Linked DNA regions of Coturnix japonica. The protein of the gene in region 2 purifies or fractionates together with the protein of the main gene of each other region. This does not show direct contact. Links are inferred from orthologs where the notes say so. Each region holds a gene or a part of one and is shown on either strand. Other genes may lie near its edges.

The links. Proteins that work in one complex are often made in the same cells at the same time.
Region 1: the proteins of RPP30 (region 2) and POP4 purify together in Homo sapiens (affinity purification with mass spectrometry; 4 studies listed by BioGRID and IntAct, counting the BioPlex papers as one, with this or other methods). This does not show direct contact. The link is inferred for Coturnix japonica from reciprocal best matches to the Homo sapiens genes RPP30 and POP4.
Region 3: the proteins of RPP30 (region 2) and RPP25L purify together in Homo sapiens (co-immunoprecipitation; 3 studies listed by BioGRID and IntAct, counting the BioPlex papers as one, with this or other methods). This does not show direct contact. The link is inferred for Coturnix japonica from reciprocal best matches to the Homo sapiens genes RPP30 and RPP25L.

What each region holds. Positions count from the first base shown.
Region 1 is NC_029526.1:7,093,287-7,100,748, reverse strand, and holds POP4 (ribonuclease P protein subunit p29), read right to left. Parts: upstream 4,692-7,462; 5' UTR 4,574-4,691; coding exon 4,567-4,573; intron 4,481-4,566; coding exon 4,428-4,480; intron 4,347-4,427; exon of another isoform or gene 4,326-4,346; coding exon 4,102-4,325; intron 3,655-4,101; coding exon 3,577-3,654; intron 3,375-3,576; coding exon 3,313-3,374; intron 3,029-3,312; coding exon 2,927-3,028; intron 2,463-2,926; coding exon 2,326-2,462; 3' UTR 2,081-2,325; downstream 1-2,080. UniProt on the Homo sapiens protein: Component of ribonuclease P, a ribonucleoprotein complex that generates mature tRNA molecules by cleaving their 5'-ends.
Region 2 is NC_029521.1:17,045,507-17,053,026, forward strand, and holds the start of RPP30 (ribonuclease P protein subunit p30), read left to right. Parts: upstream 1-3,404; 5' UTR 3,405-3,690; coding exon 3,691-3,772; intron 3,773-4,543; coding exon 4,544-4,599; intron 4,600-4,906; coding exon 4,907-4,963; intron 4,964-5,238; coding exon 5,239-5,313; intron 5,314-5,853; coding exon 5,854-5,925; intron 5,926-7,520. UniProt on the Homo sapiens protein: Component of ribonuclease P, a ribonucleoprotein complex that generates mature tRNA molecules by cleaving their 5'-ends. Also a component of the MRP ribonuclease complex, which cleaves pre-rRNA sequences.
Region 3 is NC_029547.1:7,292,551-7,299,798, reverse strand, and holds RPP25L (ribonuclease P protein subunit p25-like protein), read left to right. Parts: upstream 1-2,557; 5' UTR 2,558-2,992; intron 2,993-3,251; exon of another isoform or gene 3,252-3,510; intron 3,511-3,713; 5' UTR 3,714-3,722; coding exon 3,723-4,268; 3' UTR 4,269-5,017; downstream 5,018-7,248. Other genes in the region: DCTN3 (dynactin subunit 3), read left to right, coding at 606-664, 1,325-1,384, 2,009-2,098; ENHO (adropin), read left to right, coding at 6,570-6,755. UniProt on the Homo sapiens protein: May be a component of ribonuclease P or MRP.

The DNA of each region.
Region 1 (7,462 bases), on a different chromosome or scaffold from region 2:
AGGGGAAAGATGGATCAAAACTCTGTAAAATTCCATGGAACTGCTCATTGTTGCCATACAATCTGGAATTCTGTTTCTTGGCAAGGTCCGTAAGGCCATAGTTTGGTCACCACTGAGGGATGAAATGATTTGTAAATCCAGTTTTTCTTTCTGTTTAAGAAAACACATGAAGTTGAACATCCGTTAACTTAGGTCAACTATTGCTCACCAAGGCTCCCTGTGCTGACCTTCAGAGCCAAGAGGCAATCAGTGCAGCTGGGTAAGGGGAACACTCAGGTGTTTGTCACAGTAGAGAACCAGTTGCCTAGGAGAGCAATTGTTGCATGCTGGCCTCAGCTGTGCTGTGCAGAAGGCTGGTTACATAGTGCTGGTGGGCACTGGGCACCTCATTCTCTGCTGGGGTTTCATCTAGAGAAGGTTGCAGGGATGATGGTGCTAAAAAGAAGAGCTGATGTGTCGCTGAAGCCTTATACTCGCATCCCAAGGTAAGATCACTGCAGATTTAATGAGAAATTAATTATGGAAATCTTACTGTGTGGTGAGGGAGCATTACAAATAGCAGGAGCCAGGGATTAGCCCTCCTGTGGGGTGGGAGATGCTGCATTAGGAACAGTAAGGAACTGGAACTTCTTATTAAAAAAAACCTACATTTGGATGTTTGGAACACCTCGATGAGGTAAAAATGCCTCTTCAGGTGATTTAGCAACAGCAGTAAAGGTAGTTTGAATGCTTTGGCTGTTCAATCTCTTGTTAGGCTTCATTTGTCATCTGTGCTGCTAGCATCTAAGTACCTCAGAGACCTCTGAACACCTCTCCAGCACTATTCACTGTAAATAATTATTTCCTTACTGTTATTTACTGAAAGGGGCTGCTAAGCAGCACATCTTCCTGCCACTGAAGTAAAATGTAGAAAAGTGTAAATAGCAATAGCTATGGAAAATGCTGTTGTGCTCATCTGTGTGTCTGTATGGCAGAATATAGTATGTCCTCTGCAGCACAATGAAATGGGATCGTGCCTAATTCCAATTTGTGTGTCATTGCCATTAATGATGCCTAGTTAAGACATCTATTAAAGGTCTTTAATTAACAGGACTACGCCAATAAAGTTCCATTAGCTTCCCTCTATTAATTTAATATTATAGGCATTTAACAGATGTCTTAATTAGATGTTACACTGATAGCTATAAGCAAAATGAAAATGAAGCCTTTGTCCTGCAGAGAAAGTTTCTACTGTCACTTAAGCTTTCTGCCAATTTGTTGATATTTCCTTGTGGATTCTCAGAGAAATCTAATGGATTTCAAAGAACTTTGGGAGGAATTATGCTTAAAGGGAGATACCTTGATGTAACTACTTCAGAGCTCGACTAAGTGCCTGTTAACTTTAAAGTACTCGTGAACAGAATCCAAGTCCTTGTCTAGTGATTGCAAGTAGCTACAAGCCCAGAAAGAATCATGATTTCTCACCTGTGAGGCACTGTCCTGATTGAAGCACCTGTGGTTTAAGACATGTCTTGCTTGTTTAAATGCATGTGCTCAGTTAGAGGTTTCACCTCCACTTCTTGTGCATTTGCATTTTAACCATTACCCCAAACAATGTATTTTTCCATTTGGGTAGGTAGTTCTAGGGAAAAAAAAGCATAAATAGTTCCAGACTAAGATAAGAAAGTTACTGACCTTGGTATTTATCAGTCCTTGGAAGTCAGATACTAAAACATTCCCTGGTTTAGCGGAAAACAATCCAGAAAGCATTCTTGATACTCATAGGAGTTCTCATTGACCTGCCAGGACATGATACCTTTTGCAGCATAAATCACCTCTGTTGCTGACTCAGTAAACATGAAAGACATTTTTGCCCAATGCTTTCATTATAAGGTTTTTCAGTCTAGCATGGATACAAGCTGAACAGGCAGCAATGATTGATCCAGGAGCAATCACATAAAAGCAGTTACCAGCTGCAGTCTCCTTACACAGTGACAGGTGTTATTGCTGCCTTCTGAACGAAGCAGGCTCTGTAAGCAAGTTATAAGATAAAACATTCACTGAACAAATATACAGTCAAAATAGAAACAAAAACCAGGTAATCAGTACTAATCACAAGTTTAATAAAAGGCAGAACATTACACACAAGTAAAAGATACAACTAAGACTTCAGCAGTTTGACAGACTGCTTTAAAGATGAAACCAGTCATTCTTCAGTATGAAGAAACACTTCAGAAAAATCTCAGCTAGTTAACTCTGTCTTTCAGTCTGCCAGAAAACCTGTTTTGTAAACTGAAGGAGAACAGCAGACATCTTAATTAAACTTCCTTTTGATTTGCTATGAAATCATAGGTCAATAGTTCCTTTCAGCTTGAACTTCTTTGCAGACCGCTCACTTGCTCGAAGCTGGAACTTGCTTCCATAGATGTAGGAAATGAATCCATCAGTCTCCACACTGAATACGTTGTTAATTTTGGGAACAACTGAAAAATGGAGAAGTAGCATTATGCATAGATACTGGTGTACCAGGGAATACTATTCACATGCAGGCTTCAGGTTCATAACATGTCAAGGTTTAATGCTGCAGTGTGAGAAATACACTCAATACAGCCTGTACATTTAAGGGCAAAACTGACAGAATTCAGTCCTTGTTCACAAGTGTGCAGTAAGAGTTGCAGAGAACGATCTACAGTGAATCAGATGAATGAACCATGTGCATAATCATGTTATAAATCACTGGAAATATGTTTTTAAATTACTTCTAAGGTACATTATTGGGTTTTTACATGTCAGATAAAGACATGAACTTCTGCCACTATGCAAAGAATTACAAGCAGTGGTAAAGAACAATGTATGTATGTGCTCATACATTTACTCAGAAGTATAATAATATGATCGATTCTCAGTAACTCACATTATAACAAGCACTGAAAAACATTTGCCATACCTTTTAGTTTGTTGTCTTTAGTAATAATCTTGAAGACATGTTTGAATTCCTGTAGGATTATTCCCGTTATCCCAACATAAGATGGACACTTTGATTTTGTGACTGAAAGAACAAGAATAGGAATGTGTTAGAATAAATTCAGGTGCAGCTGGTTTGCTGTTCCATTATTGCCTCATCATTTTAGAAGTCTGAGATAATAGTCTGAAGTAATTATAGTGATAACTGGTAGAGCAGTTGAAAAGTTAAGCAGCACTGGTAAATGGAGAAAGAATCCATCAACACAATTACATTATCCTAGAGTTGATACTGAAAGGAATTCAATGAGCACCTGAAACATAAGAAAGTACAGCAAATCTCAGATAACTGCAGAATAAAGCAAACAATACCTGTAACAACAGCTCCATGGAGGTCAGCTTTCAGCAGTTTGCTCTGCACCATCTGTGGTTGCCTTGAAGAAAAGGGTAGGATCAGAGAGGGGAAAAAAATACATGGAAAAGCATGTTTATAAGGTGTGACTGTGCCTATTGAAATACTGGTCAAAGCTTACAGAAATAGCATATATCCTTATTAAATAATTGACATTTAAGTTTAATCAAATTACTACTTGAAATGCCTTAAAAAATGGTGGTGGTTAGATTAGCTAAACTTACGCATCTGGTTTAAGTCCATAACACAGGTCTCTGATGTATTGCTTCCAGAGTTCATGTAGTGGTAGAAATAGTTCATATCTGCAGTTAGAAGGCAAATATTTTACAATAACTTAATTATATATATTATAATATATTATATTGTAGATTGTCTTAGTAAGCAGAGTTAAAACTAAGAATTACACATGTTATCAGCTGCACAGATCACTTAGTAAACCACTCCAAGTAAAGCTGAATATGCTCCGAACAAACCCAAGGGGAGGGATGTGTTTAAGAGCTTTCTGCTCCTCTTTCTCCCCCTTGCTTCCTTTTAGGAGCAGCACTGGCCTTACTCAGCATGTCCTGGGTCAAGGAACATAATGCAAAATGGAGATTCACTGGTTGCAGCCATTCTGGGGATTAGAATTGAAGTCACAGGTGGCAGCACTTAGGAAAGAACTGGTCAGGGATGAGCTCATCCAACAGGCAGCCCAGGTTATAGCTGTGCTGTGGTTTAGTGCCACAGAGCACACAAACTCACTCTCATACCTCTGCTGCTCAGGCTCGATATCAAACAGCCCCAGCTCCCTCCTCTGTTTGGCTGTGAAGGTTTTTGTTTTCCTTCTCTTTGGCTTCTTCCTCCTCCTGCAGTGGTGCTCCAGAACCACGGCCTTCCGCGTTAGCACATCCTGGATGGCTTCGTCCTTCTTCTTGGGCATGCTGCGCTTCAGGAAGGCGCTCACAAACGCTCTGGCCTCCTCTGACCCTTGGGGCTAAAGGTGTTTAAAAACAGACTTTAATTAAATTAGAGCCCGGCTGCCCGCCGAGCTGAGGCAGCGCTGGGCAGAGGCTGTGGGGGTACATGGGAGCGGTACCTGTAGGCATAGCTCCTTCGCCGCCTCGCGGGGCAGCCCGCTGTACAACACACCTGCGGGCAGACAGCGGGCTCAGCCGGCCCTTCATCTACCTCCTCATCCTCATCCTCCTCCCGTCCCGTCCCATCCCTGTACTCACCCTCCATCTCGATGCTCCGGCGCAGCCGTGACGTGTGTGCGACCGGGGCGGGCCTGGCTGCATCCCCCCCTTCCCCTCCAGTGCGGCAGGTGGAGCTGCAGGACAGTGCCGCTCTATCAAGCGCTTCCCAACGCTCTGTGTGCCGGGGTGGGGGCTACGGAACCCGAGCTCAGCCCCCTGCAGCAGTAGGAACTTTGGGCCTGAGCATGGCAGTTTAGTACGAGGATACACATCCATGTGCACGCAGCATCTCCTGCTCTTCCGAGGGGTTCGCCCCTTCCAGCCCTGCTGCACTCCCACACCTCTTGGCACAGAGGTGCTCTGGAAACAGTACCACAAGTTCCTCAGCTTAGCAAGTCCAAGCTCACATTAAAATAGAGGTGTTTGTATTCCTATCACGGGGTGGGTATCAGCCACACGTGTAACTAAGTGCCCCCTGGGGAAGGAGGCTGACAGAGCTGCCATGACAGAGCATAGGAAATGTGAGCATTGTGTTGAGTGCTGCTGTGGAGCACAGAGGTACTAAAGCAGTGTGTAACAAGGGACAAAACTGCAGATAAATGTGTATTTGTAGAGAAAAAAAGGCCAGTCCCTTCAGATTAATAAGCACAAGCACTGGTTGGTTTGTGTAACAACCAGAAAGATCAATGTGATGGAAAGGTGATACAAGAGCTGTAATAATAAAGGGACTAATACAACAGAATGGTGTTAAAAAGGAAGGATAAAGGTCTGCTCACCCATCTCTGAAGATTAAGGTCACAGGCTTCACCAAGGAGGGATCTCCAACCAGAGAACCTTCCCTGGTGGCAGTCAGCCCTTAAATGAGGTGTAAGAGGTGCAGCCAGGCTCCACCCTTCCACTCACAAAGAGAATTGCCTCCACTTGTGCTCTCAGGGCTGAGCAGGTCCTTTCTCAGGTGCCCAGTGATTCAGGCTGGGACTCAACAGTTCCCATACAGCGTGTATGAAAGGTCTCTTGGCAGTGTAGGATGTTGCCACAGCAAACAGGTGCCTTGTTTTTACAAAGCAGGGACTCCTTGAGTTGTCATTGCTATTTAAGAAAAGATCAGTTTTCATGAATGGAGTGCCAGGATGAACGCTATGGGTCTTCAGGGCCGTATGAGTGCTCCTTGGCTGGATTTATGCTGCAGTTCCTAAGGCACTTAAGGGATTAATAGTCAAATCGGTGTTGGTGATGCCAGTGTAGTAAATCCAATGATCCAGGCTAAACAGGTGCCTGGGGAAGCCAGTCTCTTCCAACAGCTCTACATCTTCATTTCCCAATCTATCTTCAGAGACAGTGTCTGATAGAGCTGGGTCAGCTTGTTAGTGTGTGTTCCAGGGAAAGGGCTCTGAGCTGGGAGTGGGACTCAATCAAATAAACATGAAAAAGAGCAGGAGGAAAAAGAATACGTGGAAATATTTTATGGATCAGAAAGGAAGAGAAGGCTCAGAGAAATGAGGGAAGATGAGTAAAAAGGGAATTTGGAATAAAATCAATGCAGAAATATGTAAACAGAAGTGCAGATAATTCTAATGCATGTTTCTGGATGTCTCCACCTCACTTAGTGTCAGAAGTGTCTTAGTCTCAGGCCTTTGAAGCTTTTTACTTTTTCAAGTAAATCAGCTTGCAAGCACAATACAAGTTTATGGTGATATAAACCCCTAATATATATTACTTATTCCCCTTTGCAGGTGCTAGCATTGGTATTTCTTATCCCATTAAGTCTGTGTATGGCTATATTTATTGCTTTTTTAGTCTATGTATCTATGTATTTGTGAACACCCAACAATGAACCACCATACATGTGTACAGCAGGGGGCCATGTTGCTTCGGCTGTCGGTGCGTTGAGTTACAGTGGGTGATGGGAGAAACGAGTGCAGGCCAAGGCAGGTAACAGCAATGTGCTGGGGGAATTTCAGTGATGGGAAGCACAGAGAGCTACAAGTGAGGTGCAGAGTATCCACCTGCAGAAAACAGAGGTGTTTGTATGATGTAAGAAGAGATGATTGTGGTGTTGCTTTGTTTGTTTGTTGTTCAAGAGTAATTGTGAACTGAAGCTGGAGATGAGCAGAAGTGAAGTGATGTGCATAGGAGGTGACTGGGCTGTAATCACGGACTGCTTTTCCTGATTGCAGCTGATACAAGAAACAGATACTGTAATTCACCAGAAAGAGCATCTCAGCCAGCACTGGAGTTCTTAAGATCAATGCAGTTTGTTCCTCTTGGCCAAATTGTATTAGCAGTCACATTTGGTCCCTTGGGACAGGTATACTGGTGAAAATAATTGCCGCTTTAAACGCTCCGATCTGATTTCCCTTACCCAAATACCAAGTTGTTAATACATTTCCCAGCCCCTGGCAGTGCTGAAGCAGTGAGTGTTCAGCCAGCTTAACTCCTGCCTGCTTCTCAGCACTCCTCTGCTCCTCACCAGAGGGCAGCCCAGCACCGAGAGCGAGCCGTCCTGCTGCAGGGCTGCCTGCTGAGAGCTCCAGACCCGCTCCTACACGGGGCAGAACCCAGCTCTATCAAGTATTAGGAGTCAAAAATTGCTTTGTCTTTGGAGAAAATGTGGCTGTTTGCAGCTTCTTGCAGCATACATGGCTCCAGTTTTCACGTACACCAGCCTGTTTTACATCACAGTAAATTTATCTGTGGAAGAAGGCTTTGGGGGAATTTCATACCTTTTTTTTCCTAGGAAATGGTTGTTGAACTCTGCAGGTCTGTGTGATACGGTGTGGTTGTGTTGATTGTGCACTTTCCCAATGGTAAGTTTTGGCCAAAGATACATTACATCATCCAGTGCATCTCTCTGTAGGGCACAGGAGCCCGCTGTGCTGCTGGTGGCACTGGGAGAGCGTTCCCAGGGTAGGGCAGCCCCTGCCCCATCAGCCGG
Region 2 (7,520 bases):
GGATATTATCTCTTCATGTAACATTAGGCTTCAATAAATAGCGTCAACTCTATTTGTCACAGCTTAGCTTATTACTGGCCTATCCTTTGAGTATTTTAGGCTCTCATCCACCATTTTTCATGCACTTATTGACATTTTTCTTGATTTTTCTTCGAAGCTTTTCTTTCATTTTGTTAAGCTTTCATTATTTTATTTTTATTATTCCTTTTCCCTCCAAAAATATATATTCTTTTCTCCAGCAGAGGAGGGAAATAGATTTTCCACACAACACCTTCAGAATTTAAGACTTATACAGAGCACAAAACAAAACTTACAGTAGTAGGTACTGGAGGTACTGGTATCGATTATTTGCTTCCGTGTTGGTAAGATAAGGCAAGAGAGACATGTTTGGAGGAAATAAAGGAAATAAAATGTCACTTGCACATGCTGATTTGGTGAGGCCAGCCTGTTCTTATGAAAGTGCCTGTGTCAAAAGAACTCACACTACTTTCTGGATGCTTCACCCTCCTGCTGAGGGTGTGATGCTTACAGAGCCCATCGGAGCAGCAGGTCTTACCATCTCACAGCCCACTGCCTTAAGTGGGTCCAGAACTGCAGCATGCAGAACTGTACCAGCAGAGGAGAAGCACTGACAGCACTGCTCGGTAACTCCCCACACAGATGTATCTGAAAAACAAGGTCTGTGCTCATCTTAACATAAAATCTTAGAGGTGCTGCTACATTTTCCTTCTTAAACAATTTAATTCTGGATGCATTTCATACCCATGTGAAATGTAATAAAGGGTGGTTTTTTTCTTGCAATTTTCCCTCCTTTTTTATCATCTCCCTTGTTGTCCTTCCTCTCCTGAGCCGTCTGTCTTGATAAACTGTCATTTTCATTTGCCTGTTGTGTATTTTTTTTCTTTCCTTTTCATCTTCTTTTCCTGGAAACCAATATAAGTCTGGTGAAGACCTGCTGTTGGGAATAATAAATAAAGTATAGGTACACATTTCTTCTACCTTGGGGAAATACGTTGTCAAGATATTTAGAATATTTTATCAGAGGCTGGGTAAAATTCCATGGACAAATATTATTGCAACCTTGATTTTTATTCCCAGCATGTAGTTTAGCAAATAACACTCTTGTCCAACTTCTAGCAAAGATGTTGCAGCTGCAGTTTCTTTTCTGTCTTTTCTTGCCTTTGTGAAAATAAATCATCCCCACTCTGTGGCAGTGAAATAGAGAGGTTACCATTCACATCTTTGGCGTTTCTTATCATCATCAAAATAAATAGTCGCACCTGTGCAAGCTAAATAAATGGGAAGTGATGTCTTCCCTTTTTTTGAACCAGCAAATATGAGCAGCAAGCTGTCAGCTGAAAAGAGAAAAAAACAATTACAATGAAATTTATTCTAGAAATTCTTGATCACTCTGAAAAACAGTTCTCAGCCTGTTTCAGCCTACAGCTTTATGAAGGAAACTGTGAAGGTTATGATTAAAGTGACCATTGAGATTCAAGCTACTGAGTTGCTGAGATAGGTGGTGCCAAATATCTTTAGCTCCCTAAAATGCTAAAGGCAGAACTGAAGCCAAAGAGACATATACACATATATATCTGACAGCTGCTACCCTGAGTTGCCCACTGGAGGTACATTAGAGGAATATCACTTCATAAGACCTGAAAAGGTCTTCCCTAAAATTTAAATGTGGCATGAAAAATGTTCCTCGAGGGTAGAAAAATTGGCCGCACTAGGAGGACTTCAGGACACGGGAGAAACAAAGCACACTCAAAGTCTGTGACTGACAGTGAGAACCACAGCTATGTTTTAAGTAGATCACTGGGTCTGGCCTAAACAAAAATGTCAACATCCAAGTGGTTGATGGGGGAAATAAGGTTGCACACTGGTCTGCGTAAGTAATTGATGATATGTGATGCTGGGAGGGCCATCACAGAAATAGGGTTCTGAAGGATGATCTGTTTAAGTACTCTCCATTTTAAGTGCCTCGAGAAAAGGTTTGTTTTGCTTGTCTGTTGCCTAAAAAAAAAAAAAAGCTGCTTAATCTTGTTTAATGTCTCTGAACATTAGTCCAAAAGAGATGTTCAGAAATAATTGATACATATTTATGGATTTCTTCTCACATTTATTCAGACAAATTAAATCAAGTTCCATCATACACTGTCAAAAAAACCAAACAAACAAAGAAAACAAAAAAAACACTTGAAATAATGCTTTGAGTTCTCCCATGTCCACACACTTCACAGAAAAGCCTTAAGAAGACCATTTGATTTGGGCTGTGTGTTCAGATATTTGGCAGAGAAGCAGCACTGGCTATTCCAATAGGAAACATGTTAAGGGCACAGATAGGCCAAAGCAGAATTTGCTGAAACATAGGAAACGTAGGAGGAAGGAACATCTTCCAGGGAGACCTGGATAGGCTTGAAAAATGGACCCACAAAAACCTAGTGAGGTTCAGCACAGCCAAATTCAAGGTGTTGTATTTGAGCTGGGGCAACCCCAGACATTCAGACTGGGAGAAAAACTCACTGAGAGCAGCCCTGCTGAGGAAGACTTGGAGACTTGATGGACAAAAAGTTGGATATGAGCCAGCAGTGTGCACTTGCAGCCCATAGAGCAACTGTATTCTGGGCTGCATCAACAGAGGGGTGGCAGCATGAAGAGGGAGGTGACTGTTTCACTCTGTACTGTCCTTGTGAGCCCCCACCTGGAGCACAGTGTCCAAGCCTGGGGCTCCCAGCACAGGAGTGATATGGAGCTGTTGTGATGGGTCACAAGGATGGCCACGAAGGTGCTCAGAGAGCTGGAGTACTTCCCTGGAGATAGGTTTGTTCAATCTGGGGAAGGCACCAGGGAGATCTCGTTGCAGCCTTTCTGTGTTTAAAGGGAGCTTATAAACTCTTCGGCCTCAGTGTGCCAAGGAGCAGTGCTGTGGGCAGGGACGTGCCTGGGAGCTGTGGGCATTGCTGGAGCAATTCTGCCTGGTTAAGGGTTTAGCATTCCAAATAACCCACTGAACCTCCAGGCTCAAGGAAGTGGAAGCAGAGGGCTTGTGAGGCCTCCCAATACCACCTTGATGATGTGAAGAAATCACAGCCTTGCTTGTTTTAGCAGCTGCTGTAACTGTCCCAAACAGCAACAAAAGTGGTCATTACCACCTGTATTTCACATATGTGCTGATTAGCAGCAATAAAATGGGTGGGTTTTTCAACAGTGCTACAGAGTCAAAGCATGTTTGATTTGTGGTCTCCTGGAATTGTTCATCTCTTTTGCATTTTAGGGAATATCTCTAGAGAAGCTGGGACTAATCAACCTAGGATTTTATTTCACATTTTTTAGTTAACGCAGGAAAACGATGGCCTTAACTAGGAACGGTTCCACCCCCCCTCGGGCCATACAGTAGCTGCGCTCGGTGGGAGGCGATCCGGCCGCTAAGAGGAGCAGAAGCGCATCTCCCCCTGCTGGGCAGCGCACACACCCCGAGCTCCCGACTGCTCCGCTCGCAGCACAGCCCCCCACGGACACGTTCAGGAGCGCATAAAAGCTCGCACGCTCCATCACCCAGAGCTCCGCCTGCTGGTCCAGAGCCCATCCCGCTCCTCGTAGCAGGACTACCAGCCCCAGGTTGCTCCGGGCCGCCGGGGGCGGTGCCGGCTGCGCTCACAGCCTTCGTTCCGCCCCGTGCTGCGCAGCATGGCCGGCTTCGCCGATCTGAACGTCCCGCAGGGCGCGGATAGGAAGGCCGTGCAGAGCGTGCTGGAGGCTGCGGCGAACCGTGAGTCGGGGCTGGGAGCGGGTGGATGTGTTGTTGAGGATGGGGTGGCTGTGCTGGAAGGCGGCGCTGGCTGAGGGCTGCAGCAGCGGCGTGAAGGATGGAGAAGCGGGGCTGGACGGGGCGGAAGCTCCATGCGCCGGTCCTGCCCTGCCCAGCGAGGGCACGGGGTCTGTGCTGTGCCTGAACAGCGCTGTTATTATCTCCGGTTACTCTCCAACCTCTGCAGAGAACTTGTTCCAGGGTTACTGATCTTCAGCACAGGCTTTATGGCTTTCTCTAGTCCTGTCCACCACGGCAGTCTTTCTGTTTGTATCACCCTTCAATCGTGGTCACATCTCCCCTCATAATGCATCTTCCAGTCCGCTGCTGCAAGGCGCAGCCTTCGTGTCGATGCAGAGCCGGGACCTGGCAGCCTGTGGCTTACCCCACTACCCCAGGCTCACAGCCACACCTCAGCCTGCCCTGCTGTACCCATTAGGTAACCGTGCATCTCTGTGCGTACCCCAGCACTGGCCGTGCACAGTCCCTTGTCCTTGTTACTGTCAGTCAGTGAGGATGTGTTGTAAAGGCTGGCTTGTGCTAAAAGAAAAAATTGTACTCTTAAGACACATCTTTGAGTTAACATTGAGCAAAATTCACTGTGAAAGGTAAATGTGCACATCGTTATTGATTTTGAGATATTTAAATAATGAGCATGTGACAGTTTTCTCCTTGTGTCTGTTTCCATTACTTGCTGATCAAAGCAGGCTCACAATGTGTTTTCTTTTTTAGTGGGATATTCTGCAGTTGCTCTTAATCACGTCATCGATTTTAAAGAAAAGAAACAGGTAATTTCAGTTCAGCTTCTTTGTTGGTGATGTGTTTGCTCTCGTAAATCTCTGTGCCACTCCTCTATCCTTTGTTTTTACGCACTCACCTAAATGAAGGCATTTGTATTTATATTTATAACAGAACTCTGATTTTATAAGCCTGTATTACTGCCCTGGAGTTAATTTTTACTATGGTCTGTGAATTGTCCTTAGGAAATATTTTGTTAGTATGTTAAGCTTATTTTTGGAGTTGGAACACAACTTCTGTGTACATTCTAAACATCCCTGTTGTATTTTGGATAACTTTGTTTTGTTTTCTTTTAAGGAAATAGCCAAGCCGGTGTCTCCATCAGAGCTGTTTCCATCTTTGCCTATTGTGCAGGTGTGTTTATTACGTTCCATCTATGTGTTGTTACACTGAGCTGCAATTTTTCCTTTCAGTTTATCCACTCCTCAGAGAAACACAGTGAGCCCTTCTTTCTGAAGGGCAGTTACAATATATATGTTTTATATTAGGGAAGCATAACTACAGACTTCCAGAAAATTATTATAGGCAAGAATTGGTGCAAGGCACAACTTTCTTTTTATAGTAGGCAGGGTGAAGGTTGCCACAAAGTTTGTCAGCTTTTAAAATCTTATATTATTTTTCCATCATAGGGGACATCTAAAAGACTTAAAGTCTTAACCCGGCTGACACTTGTTGTTTCTGATCCTTCCCACTGTAATCTCTTGGTAAGTACATTCAGTGTATCTGCTTGTTTGTTTGTTTGTTTTAATTTAATTTTCTCAACGAAAGAATGACACTTTGGGAGTTGTGTATTGGATTTAATGGATTTCATAGGATACTCAGTACTGATTTCTCAGACCAGATCTTTAGAATCTGAAGCATCATGACCCCTCACGCAAGTGTCTGTGAAACAGAACGTGATTGTGCTGATCGCTTATTAGTATGGGGTAGCAGTTCTGTTCCTTTATTCTTTTATTTGAATTCTGGACTTCCATGTGTACACTAGAATACCAGGAGGGAGACCAGTGTGTGTTTGTGGAGCTGTGTGCTTGAGACAAAAGGTATGTGAGTGGATGGGACAAGCCTCAAAATGACCTCAGAGAATTGCTCACAGTAGAGACCTACTATTTAATTAGATTATCGTCTTTGTTTTGGTGCTTGAAAATGGTGAGGAAATTTTCTCATTATTATTTTGGTTATAATCATTGTGTGTATGCTTGTCACCTGCCAGAAGTCAAGGTAGTAATTATTTCCTCCTTTTGTAGAGATCTACATCTGCAAATATAAGATTGTATGACATCATAGCTGTATTTCCAAAGACGGAGAAATTGTTCCATGTAAGTACTATCTGTGAGTTGTCATAGAGCTGGCACTAACCATCAGTGTCTTGGAGTGCTTTGAGTGCATGCTTTGTTTTGTTTTCCATTCTATATAGCCATGTCATGGGGCTAATTAAACAATGTAGGTTCTCTGGTCAGCAGCAGGCAGACTAAAAGATTGGGAGAAATCCTAGAAGGGTAAAGGGCCTTGATGTGATCAGTTGGTCCTAAACGTCTGCAAGTGGTCTGACTGACTTGCTTTCAAATGCTCAGCTCAACTTCTTGTCAAAATGCTTTCATTGCAAAATGGGGGGAGAAAAAGTGGCACATCTGACCATCTCAGGAAGCTCCTGAGTCGTATCATTAAGAGTGAATTGGAAGAGTTGGTAGAGGTGATCTGTCTGTATTGCCCTTGGCAGACAGCAAGCTGATGTGCAATTTGAAGAATGCACTGTGTCACGGAGTTATCTAGATCAATCTATGTCTGTGATGGGGGGCAGTAGGCCTGTGGGCTCTCCCTCCAGCCCCAAGAATGGAAAGAAAAAAGGGAAAGGGGTAGGGAGATGGGAGTTGGGCTCAAGGAGATAAACAGAGCAGCAGCAACAATCTAAGGAGGAGAACTTATTTTACTAATTATGATATCGGAATGCAACATAACACAATATAGTATGATCTAATTGAAATTGGGGCTAATAAATCAAGTGAAATAAGAGAGAGAGGTTTCTGAAGACCAAGAAGCCTACTTTAAAATTGAAGGTGCCACAACTTGGAAGCACACCCACACTTACTGCCAGGCAGTGTGAGAGAGAGCCAGTGTCACTTCTGTGATGTGTTTTCCTCTCTGACCGTGAGGTACTCTGGGACATGTAATTCTTCTCTGTGTTCCACATGATGTTATGATGTGGAATACCGATAGCAAAAATTACAAAACCATGACACACTGGGACACCAACTGCAAATGTGAGTCTCTTTGGAGGAATGCCGGAATTTACTTTCAAAGAGAGGTTGTCGAGAAGCTGACATTGTTTTTCAGTTAGGTTAAAGCTACTTTCTGGTGCTGCTCAATACCTATCTTTGGAACATTAAAACTATATTTTTCTGATTTATTTTTTTTTTAAATTATTTCCTGTCCTTTTTGAAAACTTGTGAAGAGGCTGTAAAAGGAGGTGAACTTGAAAGGAGAAGAACTGAAGTATTTATTGTAACAGTGACAACTTAATGAAGCTCATTTCCAACTGATTTTTTTTTTTCTTCCCTTGCCAGACTCTGAACTCCTGAGGGTGTGCAAGAGTCAAAAGTCTTCTAAAAGGCTTTCTACTTCTCTCCATAATTTTTTTTTTTTTTGGGGGGGGAGGGGGGTGCTCTGTTAACAGCATAAAATTATTGTGATTTATTCCAGATGCATGCCAGAGTCCTGAGGCAATCGGCTGGTGTAGTCGCCAAGCCACTCCACTCTAAGATATTTGAAAAGTCGTGGCAGTCAGATGAAGTCCCAGTTGATTGGAATAAGGCAGTGGCACAGACATTTTTAAGGAGGGTAGAAGGGATGACCCAGGGAACTACTGACCTGTCAGCCTCACCTCTGTGCTGGGAAGGTCATGCAGCAGATCCTC
Region 3 (7,248 bases), on a different chromosome or scaffold from region 2:
TCTTACGTTCCATGTCTAGTCTCTGCTGTCTAATAGAACACTGCTGAACATCTTAGCTATTACCAAACACACCTGGGGTGGGAATGTGGCCCCTGCACCAACGGGTCAGGGAGGTGACTGTATAGTTTAATAAAGAAGTTAGAGGCAGTGGCTTGGCAAAAGGTGTGAAACTGTGACTAAGCACTGTGTACAATGCCCAGGCCATGGTAACTCTCAGGGTTCTGCTTATGAGCTGTCTTATATCCAGAACATCAGTGTTCCTTGTGTAGGCAGAGATGCTTCTCTTAATGTTAACTGCAGTGTTCATCTAATTGTTAACATCTGTTAACTCGCCCTAATTTGAGTAGTTAGCAAGTAAACTTGTTATTTGATGTGCAGTGTAGCTATGTGGCTTTATCTGCTAGTAGGTTTTTTTTTTTCCAGTTGTGTTAAAAACACGTTTGTGGTGTGGAGCACAATCAGCAATTCACTGAGCAGAACTTTGCTGTGACTTGCCCTTGAAAAGTAATGTTCTATTTTGTTGGGTTTTTGTTTGTTTGTTTGTTTTTTGTTATAATTAAACCTATGTGATGTAAAACAAAAAAAATGGGTTTCTGTGCTTTCAGCGGCTCCTGAACATGCAGCCAAAATACAGCGACTCTCTCAAATCCAGATACAACAACAGGTAATGTGAATGTTTGTGACAGTCTTGACTAGCCAGAAAAAGGAACCATTTGATAGTGGATGTACTGATGACATATTTATACCACATCTTTAAAACTGCAGCAAGAAAAAAAAAAAAGGAAAAAAAAGGAAAAAGTTTAAGAAGGGTTACTAACAATTGATTATGAGTTGGAAAAGCTTTTTACCTACCATAAGCCTGCTTAAAACAGAGGTCTCAATAAGCAGAAGTGTGTTTAACCAGCTGCTGTTCTGCTTTTCACCAGGTCACTGAAATGTTGCACGTCTATCTATATGGCTATCAGTGCTGCCACCTTGTCTCTTTCCTTCCCCATCTGAGGGAATGGGGTGTGTAGCCTGGGTTGCACTTCATGCCCCCTTTTTGTGTTTTGCTGTGAGTTTTCATTCTGAGTCAAGCAAAGCATGGATGCTGAGAAAAACCACACATCGGTCTAGCATGGATGCTCTTGCACCGTATGAGCATGAGTGTTTCTTCATAACCTTTCCTTCAACTATTGAAACTCGTTCAGGCACAGTGAGTGGTCATGGCCAGGGCCTGAGTTTTAATCTTGGTACTGGCCTTGGACAATTCCTGACTTGCCTGGAATTACAGATGTCCTTTAAGTTATTTATTGCTTATTCACCAAGGCACTGTTTTTTGCAGGAGCAGTGTGAGCAGTTTACTGATGAAGTCAAGATGCTCTTGGAAAACTACAACAAGACAGTATCCTTTTAGCTGGTGCCTTGGATTGAACTGCCCACCTGTCTCTTGGGCCACCTCACCCTGTCAGAGGTAGCTGGAAGCAGGCAATCCCCAGCCTTAGGTTTAATGGCCGGTACCTTTTCTGGTGTAGTGATGTTTGTGTTCCTGTTATTATACTTACCTCAGGAGTGAAGTCCTGTTACAGTGCCGAGGGACAGAACTATCCATCCGAGACAGGAAGGGCAGGGTGTCGTCTGTGAGTCAGAGCTTTTGTGATGGATCTGCTTACAGTGTGGCTTAGCACAAAGGAGCTGGCATGTCAGTTGAATGTGCCTGTGACCTGCCAGAGCCTTGCAGTTCATCTCATACCAGTGCTGAAACACATCCTGAACTATAGTGGGTGGGGGAGTTATGTTCTTTTCTGAAGCAAGACCTTTAATTTGCAGCACTATGCAGTGCTTAGAAGTGGTGTGTAGTTGGTATAAGTCTGTGTAGGCTGTGTAGACACAGTTTTATTCACCCTTTTCTCCTCCAAGGAATTGGTTTTGGATCAGCACTGTCAGGCTGATGGGTGCTCCAGCTATTCTCTAACCTTTATTTCCTCCTAGAAGTTTTTGCTTCTCTTTCCTTAAGAGGAACAACCAGACTCTGCTTCTCTCCAAGCAGTTTGTCCAGTGGAATGAAATACTAACACAGCTGGAAGCAGCCAGGGAAGTGAAACCTGCAGCAGAGTGATGGCAGAGCAGGGAGGGCGAAGACCAAAGTCCTAGGATCCTGTTGGCCTTGCATTATTCAGAAGAGACCACAGCAGCTGCTTGCATCCTCTTGCCTCAGTATCTTTATACTTAGTGTGAGTATGCTGCAAATGGTGTCACAGACTCCTGGGGGCACCCTGGCTTTGTGGCCCTTAATCAAAGCAGCACCATCAATATGCCACTGTTTGCATATAGTTTTCTCTTAATATGCCACTGTTATTAATATGTTATCTTTTATTTTAATGTTTTCAAGCTAGTAACGTACTTTTAAAGTCCCTTGTTGCTCTTATCGTGGATCACAGTAAAGCCCTAATGCACTGGTCTGGCTTGTCTTTTCCTCCCGTGAATGCATCAGTGGCACAGAATGCCTGGTTAAGCTCAGGAGGGCAGATCCGCGTGCTGCCAACAGCCCATGGCTGATGTGTCATAAGGAAACGTTACTCCTGGCATGAAGTAGAAGCAGTGATCTGTGTGTCCCTTCTTGGGGCGGTTCCTGGTGCCCTGTGGGAATGGGAACTTGGAGACTGGGGGAAGCAAGTGACCCTGCCCTACGTCGTGCCTTTGCTGATCAGAATGGCAGCAGCGAGTCAGAGCCGCAGCCGGTCCTTTCTTATTCAGAAAGAGTTATTTGCTGCCCCCTGCCTGTAGTGCCTGGGCTGTGCAATTTATCCAGGTACAGAACAGAATTACTGAGTTGTGAACATGTCTTTAGTGAAGCCCAGAGCCCAGCTGTGCGCTGGGAGATGCGGGCCCACCCCGCCCTCACAGCCCGCCCAGGCCCGGCGCCATCACTCCGCCACTCCGCCTCCCTCCCCGCGCATGCGCACGCCTGGCGTCGGCCGCCATTTTGCGTCGAGTGTCGCCGTGCCGGCAGGTGAGCGTGCTTTCCGTGTGTCCCCCATCCCGCCCCGCAGCCCGTCCGCCTCCCGCACCCGCAGAGCCGCCCGGACAGCGGTTCCCGTCACCCCGGACCCGGATGGTGGGGCTGGGCCGCCTCCCCTTGGCGGAGCTCTCCGCCCGAGGCCTTCACCGTGCCTGTGGGGGGAGCCGTGTGACTCTGTGGGCCTGGGGGTGGGGGTTGAGCGTGAGCCCGTTTACCTGAGTTCTTTCATTTATTCTTTGCTTTTTCTAAGGATTCCGCCAGCTGAACCAGCGCTGCTCCTTCCAGTTTCGACCCCTGTGGCAGCATTCATGTTGCCCGCCGGTGTCTGAGCTGCCGCTGCTGGAAATGACTGCTGTGCTTTGCACTGCTGCACATCGGGGTGTTCTGGTGGATAGTTTGTATCTGCCCTGTCCGGCTGACAGAATCAGACAGTGCCCTTTGGAGCAAAGACTGCACGTAATTGGAGCGAGAAGCCCTTTGTGCAGCCTTTAGAAGTTTCTCAGGTACAGGTGTGTGGAGCTGCTGAGACTTTTCTGGTGGCCAGAGGCTGAAATGATGCCAATGGCAGCCTCAGTTTTGAGCCCTGCTGTGCTGGCACAGGTTGCTGGAAGCCACAGTTGCAGCTGCGCTTCTCGCTGAGTGGGAAAGCCCACAGTGGCTGGTTTGTATTATCACTAATTGCAGGTATTCATGGGTTGCTTTTCCTTTTCAGTGCAGCAGAATGGAAAACTATAAGAAGACCAAAATCGTGGAGAAGCCTTGTCCTCTTCCTTTCACTGACCTGCCTCCTGATATCATTGAAATGAAAGTGAAAGATGGAAGTAAAATAAGAAATCTGATGGGCTACGCCATTGGCAAGATGGAACTGGACTCAGTGAGGCAGATCCTTTTCACTGGCTCAGGCAAGGCTGTCAGCAAAACCATCACGTGTGTGGAGATCATGAAAAGAAGGCTCAAAGAACTCCACCAGATCACCAAAGTGCTTTTCAAACAGATCGAGGAGATCTGGGAACCCATCGTGCCTGAGGCAGGTCTGGATTCCTTGACAGTGAAGAGAAACATTCCTGCCATATGTGTCCTGCTGAGCAAAGACGCCCTTGATCCCCAGGAGCCTGGATATCAGGCTCCGGGCTCTTTTGACGCCTTCTGGATTGAGACACTTAAAGCAGAGTCCCAGGCCCAAATGAAGAGGAAGCAGGGTGGAGGAAGGGGAACTGGCAGCATGGGAAAGCACCCTCGTGCCAGTGGAGGGCTCGGGGAGTCCTGAGTGAAGTCCTGAGACAGAGACACTTGTGGGTGTAGCTTGGGGATGTTACAAAAACCAGCCAGCTGCTCTGGCTGGAAAGCTGCTGCTGAACACAGGCTTCCAGATCTGTTAGGGGGGTAGACAGGAGAACTCACTGTTCCAAAATTGACAAAATTGTAGCTGTCTAAATTGTGTTTTGGCAAGTTTCCTTGTCAGATGGTGCCAGGCTTCACTCCATAGCCTGTGGCTCAGGGATGAGATGGAAATATGGGATTTACCTTTTTGGGCAAGGATTGCTGGCATCCAGTTAGTGAGCCCAAAGAGGCATTCCAGGTATGGCAGTGCTTTGCATGGGCAGGAGATGAGGCAGCTCCTAGAGGGGAGATGTGTCCCAGGTTGGGCTGCCAGCCCATCATTGCAGCTCCTCTGTGTGGATGGCACAGCTCAGGGCTGGGTTGGACACTTTACCTGTGCCTGAGAAGCCATTTTCTGCTCAAGCCTTCCAGTGTTCTGATGGTTTAGATGTGGGACTGCAGGGGTGCAGCTCACTGTGTGCCAATCATCCCTTTCTGTCCTCTCACTTCCCCTCTGGTGCTGATGGTTACACCTCTGGCAGGAGTCAACTAACGTCATCACCATCCTGAAACCACGTAGGCAGGGGCAAATGCACAGGGGTGGTAATGGTGAGCTCCAAAGGATGCTTGTTTCCCCTTTCTACTCCTTTGTAATGCATAGGAATGGGTTTAAAATAAAGTTTGTAAGTGACAAAAGATGTGTGATGTGTTCCACGTTGCACTGGGGTCACCCTCAGCATTACTGACGGGCTGCAGCTGCAGGCGTTTTTCTCCTGTAGGTGGGCCCTGATGAAGGTTTTCCTTTGCCATTCACCTCTTCTAGCAATGGGAAAGCCAAGGGTTTATTTTTTCTGTCTGGAAGAGCAGATTTGAGAATACTTGGTGTGAATGCCACTGGATGGAGCAGGGGATGGAGCATCACGTCGTGTGCCACAGCTCTGCTCCTGGATCAGCTGTGGGAGGTGATGCTGGGCAGGAAGGAGCCGCAGGGCCATGGCCATACACAGCGCTGCTGTGCCAGCGTGGACTCTATGGGCTATGGAGCATCTCCCCAAGCGAAGCCCACCAGGAGCAGCCAGCAGAGCCCGCAGCTGTGTGTGCTGCTGGCAGCCACGAGGGGTCCCCAGCTGCCCGGCGGATTTGCATCGTACCCGCTGCCGTGCCGAGCTGCCCGGTGCAGGACGGAGCTGTGCCGGGCTCGTTCCTCGGTGCAGCCGCTCGGACCGTCCCTGACGCTTTGCACTGCACGGGGCCGCGCTGGTCACTCGTGGGCGGACAGCGCAGCCCCACGTCTGCGGCCGGTGGCGCAGAGGTGCCTTGGAAGCACGTGTAGGTGCCGGGACGGTTGTTGTGTTTTGTGCCGTGTCGCTCAGACATCGCAGCCGCTGCTCCATCCCCGCCCGGTGCAGCGCACGCACCACGCGGCCTGTGCGCGGCGCGGCGGGGCGGGGCCGCAGCCGGCGGTTGTGGGCGGGGTGTGTGCGGGGCCCGGGCCGCCCCTCGGAGCGGGGGGAGGAGCGAGCCGGGCTGCGGGACACGGCGCCGCTCCGCGCCGGGACAGCGAGCAGCGGACGCGGCTCCGAGCGGCGGATCCCGGGGCGCGGCGGCAGCGGGTCAGTGCGGGGCCGGGACGGGACTTGTTGCGGTTGCGGGATGGGGAGGGAGGTCGGCGTCTCCTTCCCGCGGGTCCGTCGGGGCTGCGATGTGCGAAGGAGCCGGCGCTGCCCGCCGCGTGCTGTGCCGTGCTGTGCCGTGCCGTGCCGCGCCGCGCCGTGCTGTGCCGTGCTGCGCCGTGCTGTGCTGTGCTGTGCCGTGCTGTGCTGTGCCGTGCCGTGCCGTGCCGTGCCGTGCCGTGCCGTGCCGTGCCGTGCCGTGCCGTGCCGTGCCGCGCCGTGCCGTGCCGCGCCGTGCCGTGCCGTGCCGTGCCGCGCCGTGCCGTGCCGTGCCGCGCCGTGCCGTGCCGCGCCGTGCCGCGCCGTGCCGTGCCGTCGTGCCGCCGGTAACGCTCCGCTCTGCTCCCAGGTGCCCGGCCGAGCAGACCCCGCGCTGCCGCAGCGCCGCCCGACGAGCCGCCCCGACGCTCCCGCGCCGCCGAGGCCGCAGCGGCGCCGTCCGGGCCGTTCCGGGGTGACGCCGTCCCGCCGCTCGCCGCCGGCACCGCCGCCGTGCGCTCCGTGCCCCCCAATGCCATCGGGCGGAGGCCGCGTCCCGAGCCGGGGGCTCCGCTTCGTCCCGCGGGGCGGCGGCGATGGGGGCGGCTCTGTCCACCGGAGCGGTCGTTGCCATCTCTTTTAACTGCATCATCGCTCTGCTCATCCTCATCCTCTTCCACATCCTCTGCAAGGCCTGCAGGACCCCGTCGTGCCCCAAGAAGAGCCCGGCGTCCGACGCGGACGAGGCGAGGAACGAGGAGAAGTACCTTCTGCAGCCCTGAGCGCGGCCATGGCAGCGGACGGGACGTGACACCGAGCGGAGCCCTGCGGCCCCGCGGTCCCGGTGCGTGGATGGAGACACGGCGGCTGGGGACGTGCGCCGTCCTCGGTGTCACCTGGAGAGTGGGGACAGCCCGGCCCAGGGGATGCGCGCTGCCTTCACCTCGGGGACAGCGGCACGTGGAGGGGCAGCCGCCAGCACCTCGCTGTGCCACGGAGCCCAGCAGGGCCAGTACGAGCCCTGTCCCCTGCAGGAGGCTGCTGCGGTGTGACACCGACCCGGGGGAGCCCTGCAGCACCGCGGCGACCAGGGTGGCTGCGGGCTGTGGGGAGCAGCGGGCACCCGGCACACACCTGCCCTGGGTTTGCTATGGGGAGTCGCCAGGGCTGCTCAGTGTATCTGTCTGTCCTGGATCTGTCCATTAGGGTCTGCTCATGCTCTGCCCTCCCTGAGCCTGCCCGCAGCCAGGGGCAGCTCCTGAGCGGGGACTGTTG